3 linked regions of the Yarrowia lipolytica genome follow. The protein of the gene in region 1 interacts with the protein of each later gene in a pairwise test. Links are inferred from orthologs where the notes say so. Each region holds a gene or a part of one and is shown in the gene's direction. Other genes may lie near its edges.

Region 1 (6,293 bases):
CGTTATCAATGGTACAGTATGTATTGCTCTTCCACAAGCGACATTTTCTCCTCACAAAAAGTAACCAGACACCAAAGGTGGGCATCGAGCATTCAACCGGGTCAGGTAAACATGCCGCTGGCTTGCTGCTTAGATGCCGAAAGAAAGAGACCGCGGAGGAAAAAGAAACCAATGGTTGCCTCATTTGAGTTCATAAAGCCGGTCACGTGACTTTCTGGGTCGAGCGACCGTCAATACTTGCATTTTTATGAAAAAATCTGGCCCGATGGTTTAGTGGTATAATTCTCGCTTAGGGTGTCCTAGGCAATTTGCGAGAGGTCCCGGGTTCAATTCCCGGTTGGGCCCAGAATTTTTTGCCTTTCCGAGCAAAGCATTTGTCGGCTTTTTTTTGTGCATATTCATATTCATACGAGTACATTGTACAGGTACTATACATGCTTCCATTCGTGTCATGATCATTCTTATTCATAATTCGTTTCATTAATGATATCTAGATTTGGGACAGGTTGGGGTCCTCTCCTCCGTCATGTTCCAGGCGAAGCATGGCCCAAGTAAGGTCGGAAATGCACACGGTCATTCCAAGCGCATACACCAGCGTGATGGCGTAGAAGAAGTTTGCGTTTCCTGAGCCCAGGTAGATCCACATGTGGAAGAAGGTGGGCAGCAGCACCGAAGAGTATAGCAGCGCCAGAAAAGCCGGAATGGGGTACCTCAGAAGCGGGAAAAGCGGTCTGAAGAAGGGCACCAGCGAGAAGAAGATGCCCACATCGGCAGTATCGGGGTAGGCCTTGAACAGGGCCACCAGACCGAGATAGAGAGTGATGGCAAACAGAGGGAAGCTGCTGAATCTAAGAGTGATGGGGGCGGCGTAGAGAAAGACGTGGATTTGGAACACTCCGGTGAAGAAGGGCTGAAAGAAGTCAAACATCTCCGTGAAAAAGTACCACCACAAGCCAATGTTAGGAGTGAGGTCTCTACCAGTAAGAATAGTACCATAGACAGCTCCTAGGAAGTTCCAGGATCCAGCAATGGCCTGGGACAGCAGCAGGATAGCTGCGGTGTAAGAAGCCGACAGCAGGCAGAACCGGAAGCCGTACTGGGCCTTGTTTGTTCTGAGTGGCGTTCCGCTGTTTCCATGGAGCAGGAGAGACACAAGAGGAGCCAGGTAGATGGGGTAATATGAAAGGTTAGTGGCCAATGCAAGAGAGGCGGCTGCAGTCAGAAAGTGGCCGTGGGTGGCAGCGGCCAGGGTGTAGCAGATGGCAGCGTTGTTGAACACAGCTGTGGATTTAGCTGCCGACGACAGAAACAGCAGGGGGTTGAAGAGGTAGATTGCTGCGATGATCCAAGGAGCAAACGGCAGCGGCTCTTTTGTATCTTTCTTCTTGAAGACGTATTTGATGGTGGTGGCGGCTCTCTGGGCGGTTTGAGCGAGGGCCCATGCCGCCGTCAGGTCCGCCAGCACGTATAGAATGTTGATTGCGATGGTTTCGGGCACGATTTTCGACACGGCCGACACTGCGCCGAGCAGCAGTGGCGACTGGTGGAAGATTCCGCCGTCGTAGGGATCGATTCCTTGCTTGTAGAGATACAGGCCCTCCTGGAGTCGTTTGAAGGAGGTGACGGGCGTGGAGATTTCCACATGGCCATCTAGAGTTGCGGGCACGGACGGGAATAGGTGGTAGACCACTATCCGAGCAATTGCTCCACAGGCGAGAGTGGCGACTTCCATCGTTGAGAATCCTGCCGTGGGTGTCTTTCTGTGGGTTTGACAGACGTGCGGTATTGACAATGTGTGTCTCTTGTTCTTGTCTTGTATGCACAAGTTTGTACTGTACGTGAATTAGGTGTGGAGGAAGTTACAGTAAGTGTGTACGTAAGACGTGTTAGTTGGGGTGAGGAGGTCTGAATGTGGGCAGTTGGGTGGCGCTAGACAGGATGATTTTTGGCCCTGAATAATCATCGTGCATCTGCATTCCAATTTCCGCATTACATTCGTCTTGTCGTTACCAAAATATTCCCTATATATAGACCCTCCATTCCCACTCTTGTCGTTGTCACACATTCTCCCACCACTCATTTAGGTTCGGACGTGAATGTCCCACCTGTTACCAACGACCTGGCATTTTCAACATTGAGTTCACTTTGCTTAGGTGGCCTATTCGACACAACAATCAAATGGTGAGTGTGACAAGGCGACGCGATGGGCGATGCTGGCGAACTGGGTTGATTTGATGACACAAACCGATGGCCGACACATGGCTCCGTGTCTCTTGCAAACCGACCAATCGAATCCCTTAGTGTGGGGTTGATCGCCAATATGAAAAGACACGGGGGATGGATTTGATGAGCAACAAAAGACACAGAAGAGATGGTGTGACACAGACGAAAGCAATGTGATTAGGACCTCTGGATGACGTGATCTTTGCGCCAGTGTTGCACTATTGAATCAGCCATTTTATCAACCGACTAGGACAGGTATTCGTGTGCCCGTTACACGGTGTTTAGTACAAACATTGATGTGGCAGTTTGTGACAATGTTACAATTGTGTGACAAGTATACTGATTGTTTCTGTGTCAGCAGCTTGGAGCTGGTACGCTACGCTGTGTTTGTGTCCATGTGCTTTTCGTGGCCTACCTAACATCACGTAACGGTGTCAGCTTGGCGCGCTGTTGTGTCGTGATTGCAACTACAGCTACTTGCTTCCGCTTGGATCCAGGTGGTGTCTTCCACTGCGATGGCAAGTGACACGCATGGTCACGTCGCGCGTCGTCCTCGACCTGCGGCTACTCCCGTTACCCGTTTCCGTTTCGTACTAACCCAGGACTTTGAAGAATTCGAAGAGAAGGACGGAGTGCGATTCTCCTGGAATTGCATTCCCTCTACCCGAATTGAGGCTTCCAGAACCGTCGTTCCCATCTCGGCTCTGTACACTCCTCTGAAGGAGAAGCCCAACCTCCCCGTACTGCAGTATGAGCCCATTGCATGCCGACCCCCCTGTCGAGCTGTGCTCAACTCCTTCTGCCAGGTTGATCTGCGAGCCCGAGCCTGGGTCTGTCCTTTCTGTCTGTCTAGAAACCAGCTGCCTCCTCAGTACCGAGACATTACTCCCGAAAACTTGCCCCACGAGCTGCGACCCGAGTGCACCACTGTTGAGTACGTTCTGTCCCGACCTGCTCCCAACCCCATCTTCCTGTTTGTGGTTGACACCTGTCTGGACGCCGAGAACCTGACTGCTCTCAAGGATCACCTTGTGGCCACTCTTTCTCTGATCCCCGAGAACGCTCTCGTCGGTCTCATCACCTTTGGCGCCATGGCTCAGGTCCACGAGATTGGCTACCGAGAGTGCGGCAAGAGCTTCGTCTTCCGAGGTAACCGAGATTACACTGCGAAGCAGGTGCAGGAACAGCTGGGTCTCAACCAGCCTATTGGTCACCGAGTCCCCCAACAGGGAGGACATCCCCAGGCCCAGGGAGCCGCTGCCCGGTTCCTCCTGCCTCTGCAGAACGCCGAGTTCGCCCTCACCAACGTTCTGGAGGGTCTGCAGAAGGACCCCTGGCCCGTGGCTGCCGACCGACGACCCATCCGATGTACCGGTGTGGCTCTCGGAATTGCTCTCGGCCTGCTGGAGACTTCCTTTCCCAACTGCGGTGCACGAGTCATGCTGTTTGCTGGTGGTGCCCCCACTGAGGGTCCTGGTATGATTGTGGGTCCCGAGCTCAAGGAGCCCATCCGATCTCACCACGAAATTGAAAAGGACACAGCCAAGCACTCCAAGGCTGCCACAAAGTTCTACGAGGGTCTGGCCAAGCGAGCCACCACCCATGGCCAGGCCGTTGACATTTTCGCCGGTTGTTACGACCAGATTGGTATGCACGAGATGCGATCTCTGCCCAACTCCACCGGTGGAGCTCTTGTGCTCTGCGATGCCTTCTCCACATCCATCTTCAAGTCCTCGCTGACCAAGATGTTTGCCCGAGACGCCAACAACTTCCTCCAGATGGGTTTCAACGCCACCTTTGATGTCGTGCCCTCCAAGGAGCTCAAGGTATCTGGTCTGATTGGCCACGCCGTTTCAATGAACAAGAAGAACCCCAGTGTAGCTGACACCGAGATTGGTATTGGCCAGACTTCTTCGTGGAAGATGTGCTCCATCACTCCTGCTCACACCTACGCGACTTTCTTCGAAGTGGCCCAGCAGCAGGGCACTCCTGCAGGCCAGATCCCCCCTGGATACGTGCAGTTCCTGACGCATTACCACCACTCGTCCACTCAGCAACGTCTTCGTGTGACCACTGTTGCCAAGGCTCTTGTGCCCGGTGGCGATCCCCACATTGCCAGCTCCTTTGACCAGGAGGCTGCTGCTGTGCTTATGACTCGAATTGCCATTTTCAAGTCCGAGACCGAGGACGGCAACGACATTATGCGATGGACCGACAAGATGCTGATCCGTCTATGCCAAAAGTTTGCTGACTACAGAAAAGACGACGCGTCTTCGTTCCGACTCGCCCACAACTTCTCGCTGTACCCCCAGTTTATGTTCCATCTACGACGATCGCAGTTCCTGCAGGTGTTCAACAACTCGCCCGATGAGACTGCCTTCTACCGACACTGCCTGAACCGAGAGAATCTCAACAACTCGCTTATCATGATCCAGCCCACCCTGCTGTCGTACTCTCTGGAGCAGGAGCAGCCCGTGCCTGTACTGCTGGATTCGGTGTCCATCAAGCCCGATCACATTCTGCTGCTGGACACCTTTTTCCACATTCTCATTTTCCACGGAGAAACCATTGCCAACTGGCGAAACCAGGGCTACCAAGAAAAGGAGGAGTACGCCAACTTTGCTGAGCTTCTGCAGGCCCCTCGAATGGAGGTCCAGGACTTGCTGGTTGACCGATTCCCTTTGCCTCGATTCATTGACACTGATGCTGGAGGTTCCCAGGCCCGTTTCTTGCTGTCCAAGCTCAATCCCTCCAACACCCACCAGAGCGACAGTGGCTACGGCACTCCTGGCAGCGCCGTGGTGCTTACTGACGATGTGTCTCTGCAGACTTTCATGTCTCATCTTCAGAAGTTGTCTGTGGCTGCCTCCTCTTAGGGTTAAGTAATGTTGTAAGATTAATTTGTATTGTTGGATTGTCGAGCTGGGAGTTATACAGTGGTGTCTTCTATACACTGTATTGTCTCAAGTACACCACTCCCTTGCATGCGACCCCGTATCTGGCGTTAGTGAGACATGGTTGTACGATACAGTGGAATATATGTTCTTTGGAGCTAAAAAGTTTCAAGGAGGCACTGTATGAGCTGTGCGAGTGGGGTGATGATATGATATCGCGATAGCTGTGTAGATGCAATGTAATTACTCCTTGAATTGACTCAATTAAATGTAATAAATAGTATATAGAATGAAGGAATGAAGCATATAAACAAAACCAATCCACATTATAAATATATGTTAGTGCTCTCTCTCTCTCTCTTTCTCGTTCTGTATCTCACTGTTTCCTAATGTCCTTCGAAGTCCGGTGAAGAGTGGTACTCTGGAGACGAAAAGTCGGGAGAGGTATGTGCATAATCATAGTGTTCCATCTGGATCGGTTGTTCGACCTTTCGGGGTCGGCCCTTTTTGCCTGGCGATGGCTTGGGTTGGCCAGGTACCTCGATGCCTCCAGAGCAGATCTGTCGGGCTCTGTGTCGGTTGAGGGCGTCTGGTCGATTGAAGCCCTTTCCGCAGGGACAAATGTGGGGCTTGACTACGGCGTGGGTGCGCTCGTGTCTCTTGAGATCGTGCTGTCTGACGAAGGAGGCTTCACAGGACGAGCACGAGTACGGTCTGTCTGCAAGGTGTGTCTGGATGTGCGAACAGAGGTTGTATCGTCGTCCAAACTTCTTGCCACAGCCCGGGTACAGACACAGAAACTTGCCGTCTTCGCAGGGCCCATGAATGAACGACTCGAGTTTTCCGGGGGGTAGGCCGGACTTTCGAGGCTGAGGCTGGTTGGAGACCTTTTGCTGTTCGATGATCTGCTCTGTTTCTGTGTTTTCGGGGATGGTGACGACGGGCAGCCACGAGATTCCGAGTCCGTACTCGTCAAAGGGTTCTCCAAGGGGTCCCTCGGGAGAGGAGTGGTCATGGGGAGACTCGTAGTTGTTCCAGTTGTCCATTTCAGGAGAAGTGAAGCCTGGCTCGGGAGACAGGTAGGCCAGAGCGTCGGCATCGTAGTTGAGCTGGGGAGGGTTCAGGAAGGGGTTCTGCTGAAGATGGGACGAGTGAGCATGGCCAAACTCGGCAGCC
Region 2 (6,613 bases), about 320 kb from region 1:
TGCCCCGATCCGGCAGCGACATACCAGCACCTTTCTCTCTTTCTCTTGACGCTTCCCTCCCGCTCTACCTTTGGCTCTTCTTTTTTTGGCGTGTGTCAGATTGGTAATTTTGCCGGCAATTATACTTTGAGATTCTGAGCCTCGCTTCCCAAACGGGGTTTGTTAGTACACGCACCCTCTGAACTAACGAACTAAGGGGCAAATGGTGATAATTGGTCAGACGGTACACTGGAAGCAAAATAGCCGTCAAGAGAGCCTGGGGTTACATGCAACGCATATACGGCGTTGGAAACACCGAAAACACATGTTTGGAACACCCGCAACCCGCTCCAAGTCAACTAATCTATGCCTCCTACAGTCACCCTACCGCGTCTCGTATATCGTCGTCTAAGCACGACATACTCTACAGTGCCCAGTGTATACTCTACTGCAAAAGCCCCGGTGCACCGGTTCACCAGCAGAAATCAAGGCTAGGGAGTCTCTTGGGGCTGCCATCGTTGGGGGAGGAAATCAGATTGCTATTTCAGACTGCAATCAACGTCGGGCCCTTGTAATTGGACCATGTAAATTAGTTAAATATCGGGCGCAGCAAGCCCGTGGGATTATCAGCGCTTGCTGCTGTAATGCTGCATGGTCAACTAGAACCCTGAAGCTTAGTACTTGTAGGTTAGTTGGCCTTGTAAGCAAATCTCATGAGATTGCTTTGAGACGAGCCAGGAACACGCTGCACGGTCAGAGGAGAAATGGCGCTCTTCTTGGGACGCGCTTGCGGTGTGGAACTGGGCGTGATTGTGGGCGTGATTGTGGGCTTTTTGGCAACACCAGAGGAGCCTGTAGGAGTCACTACTCGACGCTTGGGCGTAGAGGCATTGTATCCAAACTCCTCAAACAGAGTAGACTTCCGCTTGGCACAAGTCACAGGTGTCTGCGGTAGCGTGGTGTCTTTGTTTGGGGTGCCAAACACGATGCTGCTTTCTTCAATGTCATCGTCGCTTCGGTCAGGCTCTGAACTCAACATGGTATTGAAGTTGAAGGGCTTGTTCTCCTTCTCAGCCTGATCGGGACTCGAAGGGATGGAGAAAAAGTGACTGGAAGTAAGCGCGGGGGACGTCTTCGTTCGGGTTGGACTCAACATGTTCTCCGCAGAAGCTGTTCGCACAGCCAGGTCAACCGGCTTTGCCACCAGAACAACGGGCTTCTTGCGGCGCAGCTGTTCGGGAAGTCGCTTGACATCGCCTGTGTACTCATTTTTGGGCGCAAAGAATCCCCGTAGATCGGTAGGCTTGGCTGTCTTGTTGGCAGGAAAAGTCTTATGAGTTCGAGGGTGCACCAGTCCAGTGGCTATTGCTCGCGCCAGACCTTGTGGAATCTCGGCGCCAATGTGAAAGTCGACCTTTTCGTCCAGCTCATCTTCAGGCTCATTCAAATGTACCAGCCTACGAGCCTCGGGGCAGTAGACTCGTTGGTAGAGAAATGTAAAGTTGGCAGCATGGAATCGTTCTAAAAAGTCGGGTGAGGAGTTGTATCCGTCCATACGAAGAGCCTTAATGATAGCCTCGGGAGTTTGCCATCGTCGAATGTACCGAGCAGCTCGTTTAGGACCCACGTTCGGCACTCCATCGCAATAGTCACAGCCAGATAGAATAGCCATGTATCTCAGGTACTCCAGAGGAACCTCAGAGCCGAGTTCGAGATCTGAGCAGCTGGAGATTCGGGATCCATCAACTGTGACGCATCCTCCACTCGGGTCCAGCTTTGTGACCAGCATCTGTGCTCCGTAGACCACAAGATCTGAGTCTTCCGAAATGATGCCTGTGGCGTAACCTGCCTTCTCCAGGTACACCAGCTGGGCGTCTGCTTCGTAGGGTGCAACCACAAAAGGAATACGTTGACTCTTGAGCAGTTCTGTCAGTTGGTGGACCATTTCCTGTGTGATTCTGGTGGCTTTTTGGAAAAGGTTGACAGCTTCGGATCTTCGTCCTCGAGACATCAATGCAAGGGCTTCCTTGTGGGCCTGGTCACGTAGTGCGTGTCGTTTCTCGTCGGTCCCACGCTTGGAAGGCAGTGCTCCTCCATCAAAGACAATTAGCACGTCCACTCCACACCGTTTCAGAAACTCCACTTTGCGCATGACCCACTGTTGGGGTCGATCTGTCGGCCTGTTGAGAGCCAGGTCTTCGGCGCTTCCAAACGCGGCCTTGTGTAACCATGCAAACCCGTCCACTGCCAGTCGCTGGCCCTTGAACTCGGAAATGTGAGCTGCCGCCTGGATCGGCTTGAGCAGGGGTAGTAGTCCAGACACTCCCATGTCGAGTGTGTGTGTGTGTGGGGAGGTGCGAAGGAGGGAAGGAGAGAGGTAGGTTGGGGAGGTGGTGTTCGTGTCGGTTGTGTTTCTCCGCTTGTGTCGTTAGTCGTCGGTCGTTAGGTCACCTCTTGCTCGTTTCTTTTCGTCTTATTTCTTTCCTTTTTGTGGTATCAAGTCGTGTGTAACTTGTTGTGTCTACTGTAATACATTGTAAATCGCGACGCGTTCAGTAACTGCACATTTATTAGACTCTTTCACTAATAAGCCCTAAAAAAATAAAATATAAAATAAAATAAAACAGAGTCCCAACACCAACACCAACACCACTGCGTGCACGACCCACGACTCGAATCTAAGTTAACAGCCAGCACACATGCAAGCGGTGTGAAAGTGTGTTCGTCATCAGCTTGCCTGGGAAAAGAAAAAAAAAGATAACACACTGCAACACGCCATGGCTTCGAAAAAAAGATCGGCCAGAGCCTTCCACGACCTCGGTGCAGACCCCAATGCGCCCAATGGCAACCCCCTGATGTCGCCGGACCTCTCACAGCCCATGTACGGGGTTCCTCCTGCCGGCCAAGTTGCAGCTGATTCTCCCTACGGAGGAGCCCAGTTCGGTTACGAGGCCCACAATCCAGCCATTCCTCATGGACAACCTGCCTACGGTCATGCTGCCTCCCCTGCTGTGTCTCATGGAGCCCCTCTGGCCCATTCTTTTGCTCAGATGAGCCTGAACGCCTCGGAACAGGAGGGGTTCGGCCACGACGCAGCAAACCCTTCTCTGGAGCGTGGCAACCAAGGAATTCCTTCGCTGGCAGCTCGACGAAACGATGCGCGAGAATACACCGCTCGAAAACCCGTGTTCAAAACGTTTCAGAACACCCTACCCCCTCCTGCCACCGCCGAATATCTCTGTGAGGATCAGGGAGTGTCTGCTCCTCCCTTTTGTCGTCTCTCCATGTACAACGTGCCAGTTTCCGATCAGCTGCGGTCTCTGACTAAGCTGCCCCTCGGTATGGTGGTCAAGCCCTTTGCTGAACGAGACGTTCCCGTGGCCGACTTCTCGCAGATCGAGCCCTTCCGATGTCGACGATGCATGGCCTTCATTAACCCGCAGTTCCTGTTCTCTAACGGCGGATCTCGAGCCGTCTGTAACATGTGCCAGTTCCCCAATGCAGTTCCCGGAGAGTACTTCCAGCCCACCGACCACAACGGAGCTCGAGTCGATGTCGCCGAACGAGCTGAGCTGTTTGCTGGCACCTACGACATGGTCGTTCCCGACTCTTACTACCCCGAGGGAGACTCTCGAGAGCCCGTCAAGCACCTGTTTGTCATTGATGTGTCGGACGAGGCTATCAAGAAGGAGCTGCCCTCTCTGGCTGCCGAGGCTATCAGAAAAGCCCTTGATGAGGACGATACCCCCAAGAAGATTGGTATCATCACCTTCGACCACGCTCTGCAGTTCTACAATCTGAATGCGGATCTGGAGAAACCCCATATGGTCGTTTCTAATGATCTAAAGGACCCCTTTGTGCCCTTTGAGGACGGTCTGTTTGTGGACGCCCAGGAGTCGCGGCATGTGATTGAAGATCTGCTCCCCCGGCTGCAGTCCATGTTTGAGGGCTACAAGTACGCCGAGTCTGCCTTTGGAGCAGCTGTTTCCACTGCCCACAAGGTGCTGTCTGCGTTTGGAGGAGGAAAGGCCCATCTGGTTCTCGGATCAACCCCTACCTGGGGTCCTGGAAGTGTTTTCCCTAACAACCTCGAAAATCGAAAAACTGCGTCCAAGGAGCCCAAGAACTTTGACTGCAAGGACCCTTTCTACACCGAGCTGGCGGGCAAGTACGCCAAGGACGGCGTGGGTCTGGATGTGTTTGTCATGCCCAGCAGTGTCACTGATCTGGTCACTCTAGGCTATATTTCTGCCAAGTCTGGCGGAACCACCAAGCATTACCCAAACTTTGTGCCCATTCGAGACGGCAAGCGGTTCATGGCTGACTTGGCCCACTCCGTGACTTCTCTTCGAGCTTGTGGAGCCAAGCTCAAGGTCCGATGCTCCACGGGTCTGCAGGTTGCCGCCTATTACGGCAGCTTCCACTCCGACGACTGGCATATTGAGCCCGATGTGGGATCTGTCGACTCCGACAGCACTTACGGCATTCTGTTTTCGTACGACGGAAAGCTCGACACCAAGCTGGATGCCCACTTTCAGACTTCGCTGCTGTATAAGCATCTGGACGGTACTCGACGTCTGCGAGTTATTAACGTGCTTGCTGGAGTCACCGAGCAGTTCAAGCCTGCAATTAACTTTGTCGATGCCGATGCTTGCTTCTCCATCATGGCCCGAAACCTGTTTTCCAAGGTCACCTCCACCACTCTCAAGGAGGCTCGGTTTGGTCTCAATGAGCGACTGGTGGAAGTGTTTGCCTCTTACCGAAAGAACACCACCGAGGTTCTCCCTGCTACACAACTGCTCCTACCCACTTCTCTGCGACCTCTGCTGATCCAGTCTCTTGCGCTGCTCAAGTCTCCTCTTCTGCGAGACACTGTGACTTCTCTGGACAGACGAATCCAGTACCTGCGAGAAGCCAACAACAGCGACGTGGACAAGTTTTCTTACATGCTCTACCCTTACCTTTTCGCTCTGCATAACATGCGAGAGATTGACGGAAGTGCTATTGAGAACGGCCATTTTGTTCTGCCCGATTCTCTGGCTCCCTCTCTGGCCTCTCTGGAGGAAGGTGGTGCATACATGCTCTTCAACGGCGAGAAGCTTTATTTATGGCTTCCCAGTACTGTTTCTCCCCAGCTGCTTAACGATCTGTTTGGTGAGGACAACAACATCACCCGGGACCTGGACCCTTATATGAACTCCATTCCCGAGGTCGACAGCCACATCAACAAGCAGGTTCGAGCTCTAGTGGCCCACTTTGAGGGTCTTCTGGGCATCAGCCATCTCAACGTTCAGCTGTGTCGACCCAACCTGGATGGTGCTGAGATGGAGTTCCAGTCTCTGCTGGTGGAGGACCGAAACATGGGCGAGTACGCCTACACGGACTTCGTGTCTCACATTCACCGACACGTCAAGTTGATGATGGAGAACAGCAGCATGAAGATGACTAGCAAGACGCTTTTGAATGATGCCATCGGATACAGGGAGGCTGGCTTGTGATGAAGAGAAGGCAGAAGAAGGTACCGGTACCAGGTGGAGGAGGAAGAAAGAACGAGGATATAATACTGTTAATAGAGTGAGTTATTAGGAGAGGGCTGTGTATGGAATGGGTGCTGTAGGGGAGGGGTTGTTGACAGGACCCAGTATGATAGCTAAAGTAGTCATCCATCTTCCACCGTTTCTTTGTCATCCACGATATATCATGATGTTGTCATGCACCTGAACTCTATATGTGTTGATATATGTAATTTGCCAAACTAAAACTTTTCCATTGAACATTCTTTGATCTCTTGTGAGGAGGTAAGTATGAACGCTACGGCGCGTGAACACGGCTTGGACGGGATTTTTGGACAGCTACTAACCCAGGCTTGTATTTTTATCCCCCGTTTGTATTATTATGAACTACAACAACGACGATTCTGAGGATCGAGTGAGTACCACCACCCCGCGACACTACCAGATTCAACGACACAAACCCCCCCTTCAGGGACGACGCGTTTGAGAGATGGACCGAGATGGAGAGAGGAGGAGGATGGACGGACCTGGCCCTTTACCGCGTGCTGGATGCTGGATATGGGACCAAGCAAGCGGCGAGACCATCGGCGGTGTGATGATGGGGCGACCGGAATGGGGCGTGCGGAAAACAATCAACAAGGAGGCAGAAGACGACGGTGATAATACTTGTGGGGATCTACTATTGGGGGCTGGGGATGGATCTACTTATTTTGGCTGATGACTACTACTTCTTGTTCGATATGTGATGGCAAGCGAAAAAAACGGCGGGCATGGCATGGCATGGCATGGCAAGGCGCACTCTATCTCTTTTGTGGGAGGCACCCATATTACGGACGAACACACGAACGGCTGGCGGGAAAGATGGACAGCAAAAAAACAAAAGGATAGGCTACAGAGACGCATGTGTGCGTCACATCCTTCTTGTTGTTTTTTTGGTCTCGTGGGTATCACATGTCCCTGTGACGGACGGGTGCTTTTGAGGCATGTCTCTCCTCTCTATTGTGTGAGCGAGTGTCCTGTCCTCGTGTGTGTGGGTCTTCTGTGTGTGTCCCGTGATATATAGGACCTCTACGTGACATGTCACATTAGAAGGCTGTTCGATCCCTGCCCTCGTCGTTTTC
Region 3 (7,545 bases), about 1.6 Mb from region 1:
AACTTTTACACACGACAGAAATTGATGAGAGGCATCTTGCAACCCATATTCAGATCAGTTCCTTAACAAATTGCGATCTACGACTCCACAGTAAAAATCAAACATTTTTGGGTGTATTTCCATACTTTTAATACATATGCTAGCTAATTTAGGCGTGTCGAGAAGCGGTGATGACGTTGTTCATGTCCTCAACCTTAGCCTTAGCACGGCCGAAAGTACCGAGCTTCTTCTTAGCGAGCTTTCGAGCTCGCTTATCACTGGAGTTTCGCAGCAACTCAATGATTCGTCGCTCGTAAGGAGCCTGGCCGGTAACCTCCTTTACGAGGTCTCGGACAAAAGCGGATCGCTTAGAGAGGGCACCCTTTCGTCGAGAAACTCGAGTGGCGGGGGTTCGGGCAGTGACCTTGTGGCCCTTGTTGGGTCCAATAGCGATTCCTTATGTTAGTTTTGATTTTGTGGTTGTCTCGTCAACAATGTGCTCGTAGACACTGACCTGGATGAATTACTGAGTGACTAACCAGTGTGGACGAACAGAGTGGGCAACGAACCAACAACAAATGCCAATCCATCATCCAGAAAGCCGCGACATATCTTCCTTCAAACATCTTGGTGGTACTGACAGTTGTTGTGTCGCCACTCTGAGTGAGTGGTCCTCACATGACCTTTGCAATCACCAAATATGTTCTCTCGTCGACATCCTGTTCGTCAAATCACGTTCTCGTCCATCCGTCAATGCTGCTCGCTCCGTCTCCCATCGTCGTCTGTCATAACTTACCGGACTTGGTAGCCATTTTTGTATGTGTCGTGAAGTTGTACAAGAAAAGAAGACGAGAATATCAGGATGAGAAGTTTGCATGGTCCCAATCGGGGTGCGTGTAGAATTGAGAACGTAAGAGCTTATTTCCTGGTCTGAGTGGGTTTCCAAAAAGGAAGGCCGGGTAAAACTTAAAAGTCACGTGACTGCTGTCGAGATGATTTAATGTCAGTAAAATGTAAAAATTCATCATGTCATTAAGATGGTAAGATCACTGGTGTAATTTTCTGTTGCAAGACCATTTAGGGGCCTCGTTTTTCTATTCATTGGTGTTGTCATGTGGGTCTGTACTGGAAGCTTTCGGGCATGCATAATCGGACACTGACTTGACTTAGGTTCAGTATGGCTCGATAACTGCTCGATCCTACAGACTTCATACCACTTACACACAAATGCAGCCTGCTACTAAGAAGGAAGAATTTGAGGACGACGATGAACCTGATGCTTGGTGAGTGTTGCTTTGGCTGGGTGAGATTGAATTGGTTGTTTGAGTATGAGAGGGAGCCTCTGATCTTGGCCATCCTGTGATCATCCTGAGTCCAATACGCCAACTAACAGGATCCATGATCATTCAGGTCAACTGTAACTAACACAGGGACGCTCGCATCAATAAGACCGGGTGTGCTGATGAGAATATGGCTCTCACTGATTGCTACCAGGACACCAAGGATTGGCGAAAGTGCACTGACGAGATGAAGGCCTTTAAGGACTGTTGGGCAGCTCACAAGCAAGATGATCGAACCCAGACCAAGCAGATGTAGTGGTTGCAACCATTACTCTCGTCCTAACAATTGTACATAGCTAATAACCATTCTCCTGTATTGATGATTGAATATGGGTTCTTTTAAAATTAGTCTATCTATTGTACTTACTGTGGTGTACATACCATACACTCTGGCACACAGTCTATGCCTAGAAAGCAGCATCCGCATCAATGATTTTTCCCTCGGATAGAGACTCGGGCTCTTCCTGACCCCCAATAGCTTCTGACTTGATCTCGAGCTCGGCCTTGGGCTCAGCTTTTGCCACTCCAGCATCAGTAACTTTCACCTCAGGCTCAGGACCAGGTGTGGAGTCCTCAGGGGACTTTACATCAGTCTTGGGCTCTTCGGACGCCTTTACCGGCTTCTTAGCGTTTGCCTGCTTTCGCTTTTGCCTCCTTGCTCGATTTTTGTTGGTCTTCTCTGCATCCTTCTGCTGCTGTTCTTCCCTTCGTTTCAGAAACTCGTCACGCTCGGTATCCTTCTGAGCAGCTTCATTGATATACTTCAGTCGCTCGGCCTCCTTGTGTCTAGCGTGTTTATACACATGGAACTCTCCGGATCCTGCTCCTGCTGTAGATCCAGTAAAGGTGTAGATGACGTCTGGAGGAGGCGCCACTGATGGTGGGGGCGGTTTTGCTGTGGAAATTTCCTGTGTAGGGTTTGCTAGAAGTTTCTTGAGCTCCGATGCGTTTGCGTTGGTCTTTTTCTGTCCAGGCTTAGTGATCCTGGACATGTTAGTTGTTGATGTTTATAATGTTGAGGTTCGATCAAATATTTTGGACAGTTGGTTATCCTGCACCTTTAGCGTTCAGGTTATCTGTCTGTGGTTGAATGAAATGTACCAGAAGATGAGATGGGTGAGCTTAGATCACACTTTTTCAAGTAATATATATATAATATATATATTATCATGAAGTCACGTGCTTTATTGTCAACCATTGGTAAGGCGTCTACCTATACCCCCAATCCATAATCACATTCTCCAGCACCGTTGATGTATCCCTGCCTTGACTATCAAAAACCATGAATTACAGTAGCTACAGCAGCTGCACCATCTCACTCTCTGAAGTCTAAAAAGAACACGTCCAACTAACTGGGAACTGCAACTACCAGTGGAGGTAGTGGGCTAAATAAGCGCCACTAAACAGCCTTGAGAGGTGCGAATTTACAATTGAGACCGAATAAAAACACTTATAAACAACAATGCCATTGTCATAGCAGCAACCTATCTAGTTCCTTCCCCTAATCACCCTAACCTCGCAATCCCCCTCATCGTTGCTAACCTTCGAAAGCTCACTGTATGTACCCTAACCCTGGGCCACGTCACCTCACCTCCCACCTCGCGGCTTGATCCACGTTACACCACCACCAACAATGAAGCTCAAGGAAATTGACAGAACGGCCACCTTTGCGTGGTCGCCCAACAACTTGCGCATTGCTACCGGAACCGTGGCTGGTACCGTGGATGCTGACTTTTCGTCTTCATCTCAGCTGGAGATCTGGGACGTGGATCTCATGGACCGATCCTCCGAGGGATTCCGTCTTACCAAGCCCGCCGTGTCTATCTCTGCCGATACGCGTTTCCACGATCTCGTCTGGCACAACACCGGCAAGCACAGCCTGATCGTCGGAGCCACTGAGAGCGGCTCCCTCGAGGTGTGGGAGGCTGACAACATCAAAGACTCCTCCACGTCTGTGTCTGTCAAGGAGCACTCGGGCCCTATCAAGACCCTGCAATTCGACCCCCACAACCCCACCAGACTGGTTTCCGGAGGCACCAAGGGTGAGATCTTTGTGTGGGACTTGTCGGACCCCAAAAAGCCCATTGCAAAGAAGCTCGGCACCGACAACAAGGCCGGCGACATTGAGTCTTTGGCCTTCAACAACATCACCAGAAACATTCTCGCCACCTCATCGTCCAATGGTATCACCACCATCTGGAACGTGGACCAGAACAAGGAACTTACGCGTGTCAAGCACGACAAGCCTGTTTCCCACGTTGTCTGGCACCCCTCCAAACCCACCAAGCTGATCACAGCCGTGGCTGATGACGCCGAGCCTGTCATGCTCATCTGGGACCTCAAGAACGCAAATGCACCCGAGGGTGTGCTGCAAGGCCACTCCAAGGGTATCTTGTCTGTCGACTGGTGCCAGCTGGACCCCCGGTTCCTGCTGTCGTGTGGTAAGGATAACCGAACCCTGCTGTGGAACCCGGACACCCACGAGTGTCTCGGTGAGTACGGTGCTGCTCAGAACTGGACCTTCAAGACTAAGCTCAATGAACGAACCCCCGATCTGTTTGCTACCGCGTCGTTCGAGGGCAAGATTGTCATTCAGACTCTGCAGGACGTGAATGGAGGGGACGCTCCTGCCCAGGAGGGCGACTTTTTCCAAAACCTCGGCACCCAGTCGCAGGCCAAGATTTCGCTCAAGCAGGCCCCCTCATGGCTGCAGCGACCCGTGTCCAACTCGTTTGGATTCGGAGGAAAGATTGTCACTGTCACAACCACCGACGGCAAGAGTACTGTACAAGTTGGAAAGTTTGTGGGCGACAAGGTCGACACTGAAAGCATCGAGGTTGTTCTGAAGGGAGACCTAACCTCGGCATTTGACGAGGTCAAGGGCGCCGAGTGGAAGGTTCTCGAGGCTCTCAGCAAGGGCACTGACGAAGTCCGATCTTTCCTGGACATTCCCGTCATGAAGGAGGAGCCTGCCGTGGAGGATGACTCTGAAGATGTTTTCAGCAAGATGTCTCCTTCCGGTGCCTTCTCTCTAGAGTCTTCCGACCCCATCAATCAGGCCATCATCAACGGCAACCTCTCTACTGCCGTTGATCTGTGTCTTAAGGAGGACCGGCTTCTGGACGCCTTTGCTCTGGCTGAGAAGGCCTCTGATGCCGTCAAGACCAAGGTTCAGAACGCATACTTTGCTAAGCAGACCTCCAGCACTGCTCGACTTCTCAACGCTGTCAACACCAACAAGCTTGACGACGTCGTTGAGAACGCTAATCTCAAGGATTGGAAGGAAATTCTGGCTCTTCTATACACTTACGGCGGAGCTCAGTTTGGCGATCTGGCTGCTGCTCTTGGTGACCGACTTCGAGAGTCCGACCGAGACAATGCCGCCACCTGTTACCTTGTGTCTGGCAAGCTCGACAAGGTCTCTGGTCTGTGGGAGTCTGAGATCACTACACGAGAGAAGGAGCTGACCAAGGACAATGTGGCTCCTTACACTGCCCACTTCTCCGCTCTCAAGGAGTTCATCGAGAAGATCTCCGTCTTCCGAAAGGCTACCAACGCCGTGGACTCTGGAACTGTGGATGGTCTTTACAACAAGTACCGAGAGTTCGCCAACATTGTGGCTTCCCAGGGCAACCTGGAGCTTGCTCAGCAGTTCCTTGCTCTTCTGCCTGCATCCTTCGAGGGTGTTGGTCTTGAGCGAGAGCGACTCAACAAGGCTGCCAAGCCCTCCGTTGCCACCACTGCCACTAGCAAGGCCTCTGCCTACGGAAAGCCTTCTTATGGCAGTGCTACCCCCCAGGCTTCTGCTTACACGCCTACCGCTTCTGCCTATGGTTCCATGTATGCTCCTGCTGTCCCTGCCGCCGCTGCTCCTGCAGCCGCTGCTCCCCCACCCACTGCTGCTGCTGTGCCTCCTTCCCCTGCCAAGAACATGTACGCTCCCCAGCCTCCTGCTCCTGTCACTGGTTTCGCTCCTGCAGCTCAGTCTCCTGGAGCTCCCCAGCAAAACACACACAACCCCTACAACCCCACTCCTCAGACTAATGCTTATGCTCCTCAGGGTAACGCCTACAGTGCTGCTCCCCAGCAGAACACCTACGGAAGGTCTACTCCCGGCGGAGGTCCTGTTCGAACCACAGCTCCTCGTCACGACACTGCTGGCTACAATGATCTGCCTGCAGGTTCTGTCCCTCCCCCTAAGAAGTCAGCTCCTAGCCCGGGTCCTATCTCGTCTGCCTATGCTCCCCCCACCCCTGCTGCTCCCTCAGCTCCCCCTGCTGGTGGTCCCCGACCTCCCTCTGTGAATCGAGTCACCTCTCCCGGTGTGCCTAGCGGAGGTGTAAACGCCTATGGCTTCCCTATTGGAGGTGCACCCTCTCCTTATGGAGCCCAGGCTGCGTACGGAGCTCGACCCCCTGTGCCTGCCGTGGTGTCTCCTCCCCCTCCTAACCCCTACGCTCCTGCCCACTCGCCTGCTCAGAACAATGTCCAGCCTGCTGTTAACCCCTACGCTCCCGCCCCCGGCGCCGTGGTTTCTCCTCCTCCCGTACACGCTGGTATTGTGCCTCCTCCTGCTCAGCGATCTGCTCCCAGCAACCCCTACGCCCCTGCTCCTGGCGCCGGTGCTCCTCCTGCTAGCAACCCTTATGCCCCCCCTACTGGTGGCTTCACTGGAGCTCCTGCTCCTCACGCAGGTGGAGGCTACACTGCTCCTCCTCCTGCTCAGGTTGCTCCTCCTCCCGCTGGTCCTCCTCGAAACAGCGTGGCTCCTCCCCCCGGAGGCCCCGCTCGAAACCCAGTGCCTTCTTCGCCTGCTCCCCCACCTGCAGCCGCCAAGCACCCTGCAGGAGACCGAACACACATCCCTGCCACCTCGCGGCCCATCTTCGACACCCTGTCCACGCAGTGGGCTGGTCTGAAACCTCACATTCCTGAACAGTATTCGAAGCACGTGCGGGATGCTGAGAAGCGTCTCAACATTCTGTATGACCATCTGAACAACGACGACGCCCAGCCCGAGATGGTTGAGGATCTGCTGAAGCTGTCCAACGCCATTGCCCAGCGGGATTTCCCCACTGCCCAGGCTCTGCAGCTTCAAATTGCCACCGCTCGACCCGATGAGTGTGGCAAGTGGATGGTTGGTCTCAAGCGATTTGTTGAAATGGCTGCTGCCGTCAGGACTTGGTAGGATGTTATATGATAGTTAATGAATGTAGAATTAGAATGGTGTGTGGGTGTAGATGAGCAGACATGTCGAACACAGAGGTTGATTAACACCGTAACGGATGAACTCTTGAGTCGAGCGTTCATGAGATGAATTGTCCCGTCATATCATTCCTTTCCAGTTATATTTAGAACTGCAACACAGTATGTACTATCTTGTAGTACAAGTACATACTGAACAGTATATATAGAAGTGTACAGTCGTTATCCCGGTATTAAATTAATCTATTGTTAAAGAGTAAAATGCATGAAGCTTGCAACGATAATCAAACAGAAGGCCATGAGCATCTTGACCACGAGCATATCAGTCTGAGGAGCGGCACTCTTCGCCTTACCCTGACAGCCGTTGCATTGGAACTGGTCCATAGGCACATAAGGCTGGGGAGAGTAGATTCCAAACTGGTATCGGTTGAATGAGGCCAAGTAACCAGCACTGGCAACAGCATTCATATCCTCGTTAGCATCATATATGTAGAGCTGGTAGTTGGAGTTGATGAGAGGAGTGTCATCGGTGTTGTTGTCCGAGTACTGACTGGTGTCCCACACCACTGAGGTCTCCGTTGCACTCTGGTTGGCAGCAATGGTGTAGTAGTGCCTGTTCTGGGAACAGTATGCTTCAATATTGATTGCCGATGGAGTCACTGAGAGAGAGGTGTAGTTCCACACAAATGTGGCTTGCTCGCCGAGCTTGATGTAGGTGGAGGTGGTGGCCTCGGGGGTAAGCAAATCTACACCACCAGCAGGGAGTCGAGGGTCGATAGAGGTGGAGAACTTAGAAGTGGTCGAGGATTTGTCTTCTGTCTTGTCGCTAGATTTGTTGTCATTGTCGTTAGATTTGTTATCGTTATTGTCCTTGCTGTCCGACTTGTTGTTATCCTTGTCGTTGTTGTCGCCAGACTTGTTATCCGAGCCGTTCGTAGTCTTGGAATCGTCAGCGCTCTTGGTCGACGACTTGTCATCTTTTTGTGTGGCTGACGCACTCTGTTGTTGAGTCTTAGAGGCT

The links.
Region 2: the proteins of YALI1_E20269g (region 1) and YALI1_E17069g interact in binary tests that used the Saccharomyces cerevisiae proteins (3 or more experiments, as listed by UniProt). The link is inferred for Yarrowia lipolytica from reciprocal best matches to the Saccharomyces cerevisiae genes SEC23 and SFB3.
Region 3: the proteins of YALI1_E20269g (region 1) and YALI1_E35988g interact in binary tests that used the Saccharomyces cerevisiae proteins (3 or more experiments, as listed by UniProt). The link is inferred for Yarrowia lipolytica from reciprocal best matches to the Saccharomyces cerevisiae genes SEC23 and SEC31.

What each region holds. Positions count from the first base shown.
Region 1 is NC_090774.1:2,023,322-2,029,614, reverse strand, and holds YALI1_E20269g (uncharacterized protein), read left to right. Parts: upstream 1-2,738; coding exon 2,739-5,099; downstream 5,100-6,293. Other genes in the region: YALI1_E20279g (uncharacterized protein), read right to left, coding at 491-1,732; YALI1_E20229g (uncharacterized protein), read right to left, coding at 5,504-6,293. UniProt on the Saccharomyces cerevisiae protein: Component of the coat protein complex II (COPII) which promotes the formation of transport vesicles from the endoplasmic reticulum (ER).
Region 2 is NC_090774.1:1,704,170-1,710,782, forward strand, and holds YALI1_E17069g (uncharacterized protein), read left to right. Parts: upstream 1-2,756; coding exon 2,757-5,477; downstream 5,478-6,613. Other genes in the region: YALI1_E17065g (uncharacterized protein), read right to left, coding at 668-2,308; YALI1_E17100g (uncharacterized protein), read left to right, coding at 5,875-5,907. UniProt on the Saccharomyces cerevisiae protein: Component of the COPII coat, that covers ER-derived vesicles involved in transport from the endoplasmic reticulum to the Golgi apparatus.
Region 3 is NC_090774.1:3,595,912-3,603,456, forward strand, and holds YALI1_E35988g (uncharacterized protein), read left to right. Parts: upstream 1-2,952; coding exon 2,953-6,507; downstream 6,508-7,545. Other genes in the region: YALI1_E35963g (60S ribosomal protein eL36), read right to left, coding at 149-435, 776-791; YALI1_E35971g (uncharacterized protein), read left to right, coding at 1,207-1,262, 1,410-1,575; YALI1_E35982g (uncharacterized protein), read right to left, coding at 1,727-2,311; YALI1_E36036g (uncharacterized protein), read right to left, coding at 6,774-7,545. UniProt on the Saccharomyces cerevisiae protein: Component of the coat protein complex II (COPII) which promotes the formation of transport vesicles from the endoplasmic reticulum (ER).